Diceros bicornis minor: one gene and its partner. The protein of the gene in region 1 interacts with the protein of each later gene in a pairwise test. Links are inferred from orthologs where the notes say so. Each region holds a gene or a part of one and is shown on either strand. Other genes may lie near its edges.

Evidence for each region. The genes of interacting proteins can lie anywhere in the genome.
Region 2: the proteins of CIB3 (region 1) and SERTAD1 interact in binary tests that used the Homo sapiens proteins (3 or more experiments, as listed by UniProt). The two-hybrid records come from large-scale screens. The link is inferred for Diceros bicornis minor from reciprocal best matches to the Homo sapiens genes CIB3 and SERTAD1.

What each region holds. Positions count from the first base shown.
Region 1 is NC_080759.1:4,390,971-4,397,928, forward strand, and holds the start of CIB3 (calcium and integrin-binding family member 3), read right to left. Parts: upstream 3,079-6,958; coding exon 3,028-3,078; intron 2,817-3,027; coding exon 2,782-2,816; intron 1,098-2,781; coding exon 986-1,097; intron 1-985. UniProt on the Homo sapiens protein: Acts a an auxiliary subunit of the sensory mechanoelectrical transduction (MET) channel in hair cells. Plays a role in regulating hair cell MET channel localization and function.
Region 2 is NC_080773.1:13,999,812-14,007,336, forward strand, and holds SERTAD1 (SERTA domain-containing protein 1), read right to left. Parts: upstream 3,072-7,525; 5' UTR 2,964-3,071; intron 1,261-2,963; coding exon 544-1,260; 3' UTR 205-543; downstream 1-204. UniProt on the Homo sapiens protein: Acts at E2F-responsive promoters as coregulator to integrate signals provided by PHD- and/or bromodomain-containing transcription factors. Stimulates E2F1/TFDP1 transcriptional activity.

The DNA.
Region 1 (6,958 bases):
GGGCCGGGAAGCATGGAAGCCACCCCTGAGCAGGGTCCCACAGGCTCCACATGGTCTCACTCTCAGCACCTACTCCCTGGGAACCTCCAAGCACCCCTGCCAAGACCCCCTCGCTCCCCTGGACCCTAGAGAGGATGTCATGCAACTCCACACTCTGCCCCCGTGGTCTGGGGGCGTTGACCTTGCTTCCAGCTCCAGAGGCAGCCACTTGACCCAGGTGAGGCCAATCAGAGATTTCCGTTCACCTGGCAACTGTGATTGGCTCTGGGGTGGGCGTATGACTCAAACTGGCCAATCAGAGGCTGCCCTGGGATGTTTTCTGCAAAACTGAGGTGGAAGGACCTGCTTTCTTCTGAATGCAGAGCTGACAGGAGGAAAGCTGGGGTGCTGGGGCCCCCCTTCACTACCTCAAGAGGACAGGCTGCCTAAGGCTGAAGCCTCTCCCTGGGAGGAGCTGAGCGACAGAGGGAAATTTCACAGCACGTCCTCAGAGACCCCGGTTCCAGCCGTACCTGACGTTAGCCAGACCTGCCCCTGGACTTTTTGCTCATGTGATCCAACCCATTCTGTCCCTCTTGAACGAGGCTTCTGTCCCTTGTGATAAAATAATCTCTACTCACAGTCACTCATCCCACAAGTTCCCTTCAAAGGCACGAACCATGTGTCAAACATCCAGCTGAGGAGAAACCGTATTTAGTAGCTCCTACTATGAAAAGAAGAACTAACGTTACTTGAGTACTTGCAAAACGACAGGCCCTGTGCTGAGCCCTTCACCTGCTTTATCTCATCTCATCTTCCCGACAACCCAGGGTTTGAATCCTATCTCTGTTATCCTGGCTGTGTGGCCATGAACAAGTGTCTCAACCTCTCTGAACCTCGGTTTCTTCATCTGTAAAATGGGAATAATTGCAGCACCCACCTCATAGGAATGCAGCAGGGGCATCCCTACTATTTTTTCTCTGCCTGCCCCATGGCCCAGGCATACCTTCAGCTCAGGCATGCTGCCGATGAGCTCGTAGGGCACCTTCACATTGGGGCAGCTGGTATAGTCCAGAGGGACAAGCTGGGGGGCCAGGTCCTGGTAGCGATAGAAGAGCCTGGTATAGGGAGGGAAATGCAGGAAGAGCTGGGAGACGGGAGCGGGGGACTTGTCCCTCCTCTCTCACTCTCGCAGCAGCTCACTCTATACTGAAGGATGCTGGGTCCCCAAGGGCCATCAGCCCTGGGCCCAGCTTTCAAAGGCACAGACCCAGACACAGGCACTTCTACCCCCCTAGGGACAGGGTCAAGGTGGAGAGAGGGACCCAGAGCTAGGGGAGACTAGATTAGGGAAAGCAAGCCAGGGAGGAGGAAGGACTTCCTGAAGGAAGGGGCATTAATGCTGGGCTTTGAAGCCTGGGTAGGAGCTTACCAGGCAGATGGGGATGACAGAAGGGAGGGTGCTTAAGGCGAGGTCATTTCACATGGAGCATTCAGAGAATCTGAGCTGATCTATGAATCTCTGGACATCATCACATTGTCAGCAAGACCCTGCTTCTAAAGACACCCATCTTCACACTTCCCTTCTCTCCCTCCATAGTGGGAGGCAGGGTTTCCTCAATGGGCAGAGCAGAGACAAAGGCTAATATTCAGGGATTTTTTAAGGGCAAACGAAAGACATTTTGCAAAACACCAAATACCACCTACACTACCTAGATTGTGAGGCCAGCTCTCCACTGTAATGCCCTCACCTGGTGACATCCTATCTTCACTGGGGGCACGCGGAGCAGCAGCCTTATAGAGATCATCTTGAGAAATCAGAGGTCCCCAAGCTGCTAGGGACCATCTCTGAAGGAGTCGGGCGTCCCTGGGTCATTTGATGGCGAGGAACTTGAGGAGAGGTGTCAGGAGTTTCAGTCCTGCTCACCCAGTCCCTGTCAGCATCTCCTCAGGGCCCAGCCTGGGCTTGGGTTTCTGCGTGGCCTTGAACATGTCCCTCGTCCCCTCCGAGCCTCAATTAGTTGACCTGACCAGTAAGAAGCTTGGGACAGATGAAATGTCAGCCCTGAAACTTCTTGGGGCTCTGCCGGCCTGCAGAGCCGGAAGCAGCCGCCCCTGTCCAAGCCTCAGTTTCCCCATCAGTAATCCGATCGTGAGGGCCAGGCTGACCCTGTGAGCTGTCCTCCCCACACAATGGGGCTCACTGCTAAGAGCTGTGCCCATCAATAATGGATGTCCCATGCCCACACAACTGGGGCCTTGGCCCCGATCACTCTGCAGCCGAACCCTGCCAGCTTGGGTTTCACGGCTCCAAGTTCATGGGTCGGGGCCTCCGGACAATGGCTCCATGGGCCGAGCGATGACGTGGGACACCCACCTATGCCTGTCTCACTCACGCCAGGGACTGCAGCAGCTTCAGGCCGCCTCCCGGCGCCCTCACCTGATGCCGACCCCACAGCCCAGAGCTGGCTCCCGGCCCTGCCCCGGGCTCCCAGCCTCCAGTTCCCACCTCTTCACACTGGCCTCAGGGGCACCTTTCTAACACGCTGACCTGTCTCTGCCCAGCTCTCACACTCTCCGTGGCTCCCCGCCACCCCAGGGAAAGCCCAAGCCCAGCCTGGGGGTGCGGCAATATGGTGAGAGGGACGACTCAGCCTCCCCGGCGCTGCCTCCGTCCGCTGACCCGGCCTGCAATCCCCCAGTACTGCTGTAACCGCTGTGAGGTGCCGGGCCCCGTCAAACTGCAAATCCGCTAGTGTGGAAAGTTGTTTCCAGACCTTCTTCCCTCCCCTCCAGACTGACCTCATGACCTCCTTCCTTGTGAAGAAAGTGCAGTCCTGCGGAGAGAGACGCTGGCTTGGCCCGGCCCTGCCTCGGGGGCCTCCGTCCTCTCCCTCAGCCCCACGCCCGCCTCCGCCTGACGCCACACTCAGAGCTGCGCAGGGAACCGTCCTGACTGCACGCCCGGAGGAAGGGATGCTGTCCCCATTTCTCAGGCCAGGAAACCGAGGCTGCCAAACCCACAAGAGCCCGGCTCCTCACCCCTACCTGATATGCTTCCAGCTGCTCTTGAGTGAAAACTGTCTGCTTGTTGCCCATGTGGGGACCACCGCCAGCCCTGGAACACGCTTTGGAAGCCCCCAGTCGCATCAGGGCCACACGGGTTGCCAGGCTGCCACGCACCAGTGTCTGGGCAAACCTCTCTGCCCTGGCTGTCACCCGCCCACCCACCTGGTCACCCCCAGCCTAGGCGAGATTCAAGTTACAGCCGAGCTCTCTGAGCAACAGCCCGAGTATGTCCACAGCCACCAGGGCACAAAGGACCGCAGGAGGTCACAGGGCAGCCCTCAGTGGGGAGACCACATCTGCCACTAAGATAGGGGCCGGGGGTGTGGCGCTGGGGATGTGAGGTGCCTTCCAGAGATGGGCAGGATGGTGGAGAGGCTGCAAGCATGTCCCAGCTCAAATTCCAGTTCTCTACCCACAGGCTGTGTGGCCTTAGCTGTGTGGCCAAGTCATCTGACCTCTCTGAGCCTCATTTGTGAGACAGAAATTGTATTAGTACCTATCTCATAGAGTTGTTCTCAAGATCTAAAGAGATAATTAATACAATTAAAAAAAAACTGGCCATTGGCTATAAGCCCATTCTAGGCTGTGGGAGCATAATAAGGAACAAGCTAGATGAGGTGTGCGTTGGAGATGAGGAGGAGGAGGAGGAGGATGTTACGGCTGGAGAAAAGAGAGCCATGGGCTTAGTTTGAGAAACAGTGGGTTGAATAACACCAGAGTTCTTTATTGCAGGACTTGTCAGAGCCTTTAACATGCTAGTGTGCACCATGCATCCTCAAGGCATAGATACAACATAGCAAGTGGCAACCTTATTGAGACCCAGAATCCTCTTGGGTAGAACATCTTGGTTTCAAAAACCCTGAGCCTGGCGTTCCATGCCCTTCTTTTTTTTTGGGGGGGGGGGGGTAGGGAGGAAGATCAGCCCTGAGCTAACATCTGCCAATCCTCCTCTTTTTGTTGAGGAAGACTGGCCCTGGGCTGACATCCACGCCCATCTTCCTCTAATTTATATGGGACTCCATCACAGCATGGCTTGACAAGCGGTGCGTCGGTGCGCGCCCAGAATCCGAACTCTGGGCCACCGCAGCAGAGTGCACGCACTTAACTGCTGTGCCACCAGGCCGGCCCACCATGCCCTTCTTGTTCCAAGTCTCACCTCTTTCCACTTTCCTCTCCTGCTCAGACTTTCCCAGCCCCACACTCCAAACTCCTTGAACTACGCTTCTGTCTTCCCCTTTCCCTTCTCCCTCTCCCTGGCCTGGACCATCACAGTTCCTCTCAGCAGGCTCCTCTGGACTCTGCCTCAGCTGCCATCCTCTGCCCAAGTGTGTGAAGCCATCTGTAAAATGTGACTATGATCAGGCTTTAAAGGGTTCCTGAGGATGATTTCTTTAAGAACTGACGATACAGAGTGTTGGCGAAGACGTGGACCAACTGGAACTGTTCCTATTGCTGGTGGTGTTGCAGAATGGCACAGCCGCTCTGGAAAACGGGTTGGCAGTTTCTTTTAAAGTTAAACATACATGACTCAGCAGTCCCACTCCTGCATATTTACCCCAGGGAAATGAAAACCTATGTGCACCCAAACCCTGTACATGCCCACAGAATGGATTTCTGATAAGATGCTAGTCTCCAGAATCTATAAAGAACTCTTACAAGTCTACAATAAAAAGATAAATAATCCAAGTAAAAAATGGGTGAAGCTTAAGGGAGAGTGGGATGCATCGTTGGAGCAACGAGGATGTCTAGGGCAGTGAAACTACTCTGTATGAGACTATAATGATGGGTATATGCCATTATACATTTGTCAAACCCACAGAATGTACAACACCAAGACTAAAGAGTAATGTAAACTGTGGACTTGGGATGATGATGCTGTGTCAGCATAGGTTCATCAGCTATAATGAATGCACCGCTCTGTGGGGGATGTTGATAAGGGGAGAGGCTGTGCATGTGTGGCGGCAGGGGAATAGATGGGAAATCTCTGTACCTTCCTCGATTTTGCTGTGAACCTAAAACTGCTCAAAAAATAAAGTCTATTAAAACAAAACAACGCAGGTAAAGGATTTGAGTAGACATGTCTCCAAGAAGATATACAAATGGCCAATAAGCACATGAAAAGATGCTCAACATCATTAGTCATTAGGGAAATGCAAATCAAAACCGCAATAAGATACCACCTCACACCCACTAGGGTAGCTATAATAAAAAGAAAAAATAACAAATGTTGATGAGGATGTGGAGAAATTAGAATCCTCATACGTTACTTGTGGGAATGAAAAATGGTGCAGCTCTTTGGAAAACAATTTGGCAGTTCTTTAAAAAGCTAAACATAGCGTTACCACATGACTCAGTAATTTTCACGCCTATGTATATACCCAAGAGAATTGAAAATATATGTCCACATTAAAACTTATGCATAAATGTTCATAGTAGCATTATCCATAATAGCCAAAAAGTAGAAATAACCCAAATATCCATCAGTGGATGAATGGATAATGAAATTGTAGTATGTTAATATAATGGAATATTACTCAACCATAAAAAGCAATGAAGCTCTGACACATGCCACAATATGGATGAACCTTGAAAACATCATGCTGAGTGAAAGAAGCCAAACACAAAAGACCACATATTGTATGATTCCATTTATATGAAGTGTCCAGCATAGGCAAATCCAGAGAGACAGAAAGCAGGGGAGAGGGGGAGGGGGAGCGGCTGCTGCCGAGGAGGGGGTTTCTTTGGGGTGATGGAATGTTGTGGAACGAGATAGTGGTGATGGTTGCACAATTCTGTGAATGTACTAGATGCCACTGAATCATGCACTTTAAAGGGTGAGTTTTATAGTACGAGAACTATATCTCAACTTTTTAACAAAAAATTGTACATGAACATTTATAGCAGATTTATTCATAATCACCAAAAACTGGAAACAACCGAAATGTGCTTCACCTGGGGAATGGATAAACATACCATGGTCTGTCCATACAACAGAATACCACATAGCCATAAAAAGGAATGAGGGGGCCGGCCCCGTGGCTTAGTGGTTAAGTGCGCACGCTCTGCTACTGGCCGCCCAGGTTCAGATCCCAGGCGCGTAGCGACGCACCGCTTCTCCAGCCATGCTGAGGCGGCGTCCCACATACAGCAACTAGAAGGATGTGCAGCTATGACACACAACTATCTACTGGGGCTTTGGGGAAAAAAGGAGGAGGATTGGCAATAGATGTTAGCTCAGAGCTGGTCTTCCTCAGCAAAAAGAGGAGGATTAGCATGGATGTTAGCTCAGGGCTGATCTTCTTCACACACGCACACACAAAAATGGAATGAGCTATTGATATCCCACCGTGAATGAATCTCGAATCCACTGTGCTGAGTAAGAGAAGCCAGACCCAAGAGGCCACCTTCTGGATGATTCTCAAAAAGGTGAAACTATAAGAAGAGAAAACAGATCAAGTGTTGCCAGGGGCTGGGAGTGGGGTAACAAGGGAATTTGGGGGTGATGATAGAACTGTTCTATATGTTGACTGTCAGGTTGGTTACATGGCTGTATTCATTTGTCAAAAGTCGTAATACTGTGCACCAAAAAGGACTAATTTTATTGCACATAAATACATATTTTAAATGAAGGCAACAATGAAACTAATTAAAAAGAACTCCTTGCTCTCCATTGCCTCACGGTTGAAGTCCAGGTTCCTGTGCCCGACCCCATCAGACACTTCGTGATTTCATGGTGTCTCTCTCCATCAACAATTAATTTTGCAGCCCTACTGTGTGCCAGGCACCAGCCCAGGTCCTGGATACATAAGTGAACAAAACCAAGTCCCTGTTCTCATGGAGCTCACACTCCAGTGCACAAGCAACCATATAAATACATAATTAGTCAGGAGTGCTAAGTTCTAGGAAGAAA
Region 2 (7,525 bases), on another chromosome or scaffold:
CTTAGAGCCTCAGTTTTCTCAACTGTAAAATGGGGATAATCATAATGCCCATCTTGTGGGGCCGATACGAGGATTAAATGAGCTAACACATGTCAAGGGCTCAGAACCGTGCCGGGTGCGCAATCCACGCTCAATAGATGTTAGAGATTAATATCTCACGCTGGCCTTGGCCCAGAGACAAAGCAGCACACACAGACTACAGACTTCCCAGGACTGGTTTTAATTTCAAAAAAACTGGTTGGGGTCCCTTCCCACATCAGGGAAGGAGTATTCCAGGCTATGACCTCTGGGGATTCAGTCCAGTACGGGGCCTGGTCCAATCACAGTCCAGCCGCCAGGCCCTGTCATTCTAGCATGAGGGCCATTCCCAGGCTCCCTCCATCAGCCCAAAACAAGAGGACGGAGGTGAAGCTACCCAGGACTAGATTCTCTCTCTCCAAAGCCCCTCTCTGTTCTAAGGGAGCCAGCTGTGTCTTTCCATGGAGAGTAGGTCCAGCCACCAGGCTCAATTTGGACACCAGACAACCATTCCAGCCCTGGGGGTCAGCGCCCCGGCCCCGGTGGCCGTTCCAGCGCCTGTGTGCCCACCAGCACGTCCATGAGGTAGTCCAGCTCAGCCTCGTCCAGCTCTGGAGCTTCCTCCTTGCCCGGCCCACCCTCAGGGCCAGGTTTAAGGCCCTCAGAGGTTGGCGCCCAGAGTTCGCTGTCGTACATGGAGGTATCGATGTCCTCAAACAGGCCCTCGAGCCCATCGTCCAGCAGACAGCCAGTGGCTGGGCCCAGCAGGTCCAAGGCCCCCAGGCCAGGTGGGGCTCCCCCAGTGGGGCGGCCCGGTGGCCCCTCGTCCGCCAGGGGCTGGGGGGCCTGGCTCAGGCCCTCGATATGGCTGAGGTCCTCTAGGAGGCTGGCCATGGAGGCTGAGAGGGCAGCGTCTGAGCTGGCCAGCAGGGGGTCAGCCACGCCGGGGGCTGCGGGGGGGCTGGGCACAGGTGGCAGGGCGGCTGTGGGTGCCATGGACGCCTGGATGCGCCGCAGCGTGTTCACGACCAGCACCAGGTGCCGCAGGTCCGGCTCGCTCTGCCGCAGGCTGTGGCGGAGCTTCAGCACCGAAAGGTCAAAGAGGGAACTAGAGGCCACGGCCGGGGGTGCCTGGGCCACTGCTGGGTGGCTGGGATCCAGCCACCAGGCGTCCACTGCCAGGGCTTCCTTCTCCTCCTCCTCCTCCTCCCGTTTGCGTTTCAGGCCCTTGCTCAGCATCATCTGCGGGGACAGAGGAGTCATTCTGTTATGGAAACCCAACGTTGAGTTCAAACCCTGTCTCTGAAGACTGCTGTCTGTGTCATCTTGGACAAATCACTTAACCTCTCTGAGCCTAGGCATGCTTTCTTAAAGCCTGAACCTTTAAGATATGAGTGATAATAGTATCTACTTCACAGAGTTGTTTTAAAGAGTAAATACACAAAAGGCACCTACAACAGTGCCTGGTACAGAGTAATTACTCCTATTAATAAGCAGTCTTAATAATAACTATTATTATTTATTTCTCCAATGAACTGTGTGAAATGTCCAATATTCAACCTTTCTTTTTTACCTACAAAAGTGCCTGTTTCACATAGTTTAATATTTATTGAGTGTCCACTATGCATCAGACAAACAAATAAACAAATACAGGAAATGTACAGATGGTGCTAGGAAGATACTAAAAGGTTCTGGGGGTGGTCAGGGAGTGCTCCTCTGAGGAGGTGACATTTGAGCTGAGCCCTCGAGTGTAAGGAGTCAGCTATGGAAGAACCAGGCGGAAAGCATTCAGGGAAGAGAGGACAACAGCAAAGGCAGAGAAAGCCCCAGAGGCCGGATGAGCTTGAACTGAAAAAAGACCAGTGTGGTTGGTGCACAGAGTGACATAGTGTGTGGGGGGTGGGGGTGGGGGGGGCTTGAGAGTAGACAGGAACAAGGCGTTTGGATTTTATTGTGAGTCTGGTGGGAAGTCATTGAAGGATTCTGAGTAGGGAGGAGAGTGGTGTTGTGAACCGATTAGGTTTCCGGAAGATCCTCTTGGCTGCTTCGAGGAAGATTGGGAGCGGGGGTGGGGTGGGGTGGGGGGGTGGCCCCGAGATCATTTTGGAGGCTACACAACTCTTGGGGGGGTGGGGGGAGATGATGCTGGTTTGGAGTGGAGAGTGGTGGTGGACACGGAAGGAAGTTGGTCGACTCAGGATTTATTTGGCAGGCAGAGTGGACAGAGCTGGCCGGAAAATCCTGGTGGGCCCGGGGATCACGGAGAGAAGTTTGAGGACCCACACTTTCCCCGCGGTGGAGGCCCCTGGAGTTCTGGACCCCTGGTCCAGCCTGCTTTTTTGAGCCATGCAGCCTGTAGGGTCCAGTCCCCCGGGGCCCTTGCCCAGCAGGACCTTAAGAGTGACCCCTCACACGATTCACACTGGGTCCTGGCCTCCTTGCCCGCAGACCCGGGAGTCCCGAACCGCAGGAATTCAGCCCCCACCCCCGACTCCGCCCCCCGGGCCCGGCGCCCCCTAGCGGCGCCATGCCGGCCTTCCCCCGGGGATTCCGGCCCCTCAGACCCCGGGACCCTAGACACTGCCCCGCGTCCTGGCTGTGGTGCCTGCCGCCCGGGGCCGTGCGGGCCGGGATCCCCGGTGGGCTGTTCTGCCCTCTCGGCCTCCGCTCGCTTCCGGAAGGCAGTGGAGGCAGCTCCTCCCGAAGCGGCGGCGGCGGGGGCGGGTGAGTCACGCAGCCGGAGCCAGGGAGCCGGCGCCTCCGCCCCCTTCCCCGGCTGCGGCGTGATTCACCCGGCCCGGCCGGAGCGGGCGGCACGTAGAGGCCCGCGCGTCTCAACGCCGGACAGCTCCGGCGCGCACCTGCCGGACCGGGGGCTCGAACTTGCCAAGGGGACCCCGCCGCCGGTAACCCTCTCCCCAGGCCCCTTTCCTTCATTTACATACCCAGTTCACCAGCTGCCAATCAGAACGAAGAGGGAGCCACCCGCAGCCAATCAGGAAGCGGCGGCGACAGCATCGCTCGCTCGCTCGCCTTCAGCAACCGGCGGCTGGGTCGCGAGACGCAGTTCTGACTCCGCCGCACGACTCCGGGCTCCTGACTCCCCTTAGCGGCCGCCCACTCCCGTGGCGGCCCCGCCCTCCACCAGGGATTGGCCCTGGACGGTGATGGGCGGAGCCTGTAGGGGGGCAGGTTCGAAGGGAGGGCGGTTGGCTTGAGGGCGCATGCGCGGGCGGCTGCGTGAGCGGAGGTGGGAAGACGGTGTGGGTATCTTCCCTGCGCGACAGTGGCGAGGAAGGGTTTTTGCCTCTCCAGGTGCGGGCCTCTCTCGTCTACCCATGCACCTGCCGAGCTCAGCAATTGAGCTTCTTACGCACCAAGCCCAACAGGGGTCTACACTCTAGACCAGATAGGCCTGGGTTCAAATTCTAACTCGTTCAAATTCTAATTCACACTGGATGTGTGACCTTGGAAAAATGCTTGACCTCTCTGAGCCACGGAAATTCAGTTACATGGAATCTTCTTGCCTACCTCTTGAGAGTGAGGAAAATTAAAGTAAGATCGTGTCTGTAAGAGCACTATATCAGACTCAGCAAATGCTGGGCAGTTGGATTCAGGTGTGGCTATAGACAGGTACGGGGCTGGGGGTGGGATGCCACGGGAGTCACTTCCTGGGCTCCATTCCCTAAGTAGCTGTGTGACCTTGGGCAAGTGTTTTAATCCCTTAGGCTCTCAGTTTCTTCGCCTTTAAAATGAGAGAAATAGTTTCTGGCTCAGAGGGTTGTTCTGAGGATTAAATAGAACAATTCGTGCAAAATGCTCAGAGGGGTATGCAACGTGTTCTTTTGTAAGTAGTAATAGCTGTTGTGGTAATTGCACAGGCGCTTAGCTCAAGGGGGGACACGCGGGGCGGGGTACGGGGAGACGGGAGTTTAATACTTGTCCGATAAACTGACAATGGGACTCACCTTCTTCAAGTGGCTCATTTTCTAACTCTTCTGGAGCTGTGGGAAGAACTGTTGTGAATAAAGCTCTTGGCTCAAGTAAGCTCTCAAAAATGCTACCTCTACTAGTTGATTCAGGCCACGATTATCAATGGATGCTCAAAACTTAACTGTGAAAGATAGTGGGGAACAGGATCTTGACAGGCTCCAGAGCATCACCCCACAGGTTTCTTGCTAACTGTAAAGGGGGAAATATCCTCTTCTGATGTGGAGATGTGGCACTCACCACCTTAACCACATAATGAAACTCTGCATCCACAATAGTGGGACACCCGGACACTGGGTGTCCCCTGATATGATGCATTAGGAAGTACACAACATTCTTTATGGAGTCTCTCTGTTATTTGCATAAGCTGAATCTCATCAAGCCTCTAGACCCAACCTCCAACTTAGAGGAAACAGAAAGTAACAAACACGAACTGAATCAGACAAATACAGATGTGGGAATATATACAGCACAACTGGGCTGTTGCCCCAAAAATTCAATTTCAAGAAAACACAAAAAGGGATTGGTGGGGCTTGGGTTGGGGGGGCGGATGTTCCAGAATAAAAGATACTATATAGGGCTGGCCAGGTGGCGCAGCGGTTAAAGTGTGCAAGCTCCGCTTCCCTGGCCCGGGGTTCGCTGGCTCTATCCCTTGCGCAAACCGACGCACTGCTTGTCAAGCTGTGCTGTGGCGGCGTCCCATATAAAGTGGAGGAAGATGGGCATGGATGTTAGCCCAGGGCCAATCTTCCTCAGCAAAAAAAAAAAAAAAAGAGGAGAATTGGCATTTGATGTTAGCTCAGGGCTGATCTTCCTCACACACACACAAAAAAGATACTATGTAATTTCTTTATTACAACCACATGTGCTTATAAACCTTCACTGGATCCTGATTTGGGGGGAAGAAAAACAGCTATAAAAGATATTCTTGGATCTGGCCTGTTGGCTATTGCTTAAGTTTTCACGCTTTGCTTCAGTGGCCTGGAGTTCACGGGTTTGGACCCTGGGCATAGACTTACACACTGCTCATCAAGCCATGCTGTGGTTGTGTCCCACATGCAAAATAGAGGAAGATTGGCACAGATGTTAGCTCAGCAATAATCTTCCTCAAGCAAAAAGAGGAAGATTGGCAACAGATGTTAGATCAGGGCCAATCTTCCTCACCAGAAAAAAAAAAAAGATATTCTTGGAAAAATTGGGGAAATTTGAATATAGATTGGATATTAGATGATATTAAGGAATTCTTAATTCTCTTAGATGTGAAATAGCATTGTGGTTTGTAGGTGAGTATCCTTAATATTATGGTGAGAGTCCTTAATCTTAAGAGATGCCTACCATTCTAGGGGTAGGGTTGAGAAGTCTGCAATTTACTCTCCAATGGTTCAGCAAAAGAAAAAATATACATATACAAATATGCAGATAAAGGAAACTTAAAATGTTAATAATTAAATCTAGGTGGGAAGGTATTCAAGTGCTCAGAATACATACTTTTTTTCATCTTTTCTCTGTGCTTGAAAATTTTCATACTAAAAAGAGAGTGAAGTGCTCATTAGAACCAGGCCCCCACTAGGTAAATTCACATAATTTCCCCACAACTTGTCGTTTTGGCCTGGGAGAAAGGAAGTTCAGAGTCTCCAAGTGGCTCTCTCCAAGTCATACACTAAAGAAGAGCTCATAGAAGTCACTCAAATAATGTGTATTTATTGAGTACACACTATGTGGTGAGCACTGTTGTACATAATGAGGGTACAGCCCTGGATAAGCCTCACCTGGGCTCTCTTCTCACAGATCAGGGGAGGGGGTGGAGAGAGAAAAAAAGATGAAAACAAATGCATTCATTGATTCGCAAACATTGATGGATTGAGCCTGTTCTGTGTCACACACTGTTCTAGGCACTGAAGATATGCCAGTAAAATTATACACAAAACTCCCCGATGTGAGGAGGTGCACGATAAACTTAACAAAGAAATTTTAGTATCTTAGAAGGTGACAAGTGCAAAGGAAAAGAATAAAGCAGAGCGGGAGGAGGGTAATGAAAGGGTGTGCAGTTTAAATAATAATCTTTTTTTTTTTTTTAAGATTGGCCGGGCGCTAACATCTGTTGCCAATCTTCCTCTCTTTTTTTTTTGTCTCCCCAAAGCCCCAGTACATTAGTCCTACATCATCGTTGTAGAGTTGTAGCTCTTCTATGTGGGACTCTGCCTCAGCATGGCTTGATGACCGGTGAGTAGGTTCGTGCTCAGGATACCAACCAGCGAACCCCAGGCCACTGAAGTGGAAGGAGTGAACTCAACAGCTGCGCCACTGCGCCAGCCCCGGGTGTGCAGTTCAGACAGGGTGCTGGTGGTGGTGGAGGGTTCGCTGAAGAGGTGACATTGAGTAGAGACCCGATGAAACGAGAGACGTGGGAAAGCTCTAGAGGAAGAGTGTTCCAGCCAGAGGGATGGGCTGTGCAAAGGTCCTGAGGTGGGCGTGTGCTTGTGTTCAGGTCCTTCGAGCGCTCTATGGACCGTTGTTTTTCATTCTGAATGGGATGAGAAGACCCCGGAAGATGAATAAATGAGGAAGAGCATTTCTGCTTCTGTTTAGTGACTTGAAGAAAATACAATAGGACGGGATAATAGAGAGGACTGGCGAGAGGTGCCTGGAGCCAGGGTGGTCTGGGAGAGCCTCCCCGAGGAGGTGGCATTGGAGCTGGGAGCAGAAAGCGGAGGAGGAGCCAGAATTCAAAGGGCTGGGGGAAGGGAGGAGGAGAGAGGCCGGGCCTTGGGAAATGAAACCAGAAGTGAAGCCACGGGGGCCTAGCAGGGCTGGGGAGGAGCCTCCGCCAGCTAGGGAGGGAGTGGGGTCAGGGCGAGCGCCCCGCCCCCGGCCGGCCGCCCCACCCGGCCTCTGGGGAGGGACGAGGCGCCGGGCCGGCTCCCGGGTGTCCAGCCGGCGGCCAGCTCAGGGGGAGGGTGGGCAGGTGGGAGGGACCAGCCTCCCGGCCACGCCCCGAGGTGGCCGCGGCCCATCCCCCACGGCGGGCCCGCGGGGGAGGGCAGGTTGGGGAACGTGGACTCTGCCCTTAGGGACCCGGTTCCCTCTGCCTGGCCAGCCTTTCCACTTCTCTCGCCAGTTCTTCAACAGGGCAGGAGCGGGGCCCCTCTGAGCCTCAGTTTGTTCATGGGGAAAGTGGGGTGCTCCTCATGCTGGTCTTGCTGTGGTAGCAACAAGCTACACGATCCCTCTTCCCTTGGTCATCTTTAGGGCAGTCTAAGAGGGTCTGTTTAAAAGTGAATCAGGTCTCGTCCCTCTGCTCAACGTCCTCCCATGGCTTCTATCTCACTCAGTGTAAAGGGACTCCACAAGACCCTGCATGATTTGGCCCCCTCAACTCTTTCACCTCATCTCCTAGTTCTCTCCTCTTTGCTCACTCTCATCCAGACACACAGGCCTTCTCATAGTCCCTCAAACACTCCACCCAGGCTGTGATCTCAGGGCCTTTGCACTGGCTGTTCCTTCTGCCTGGCTCGTC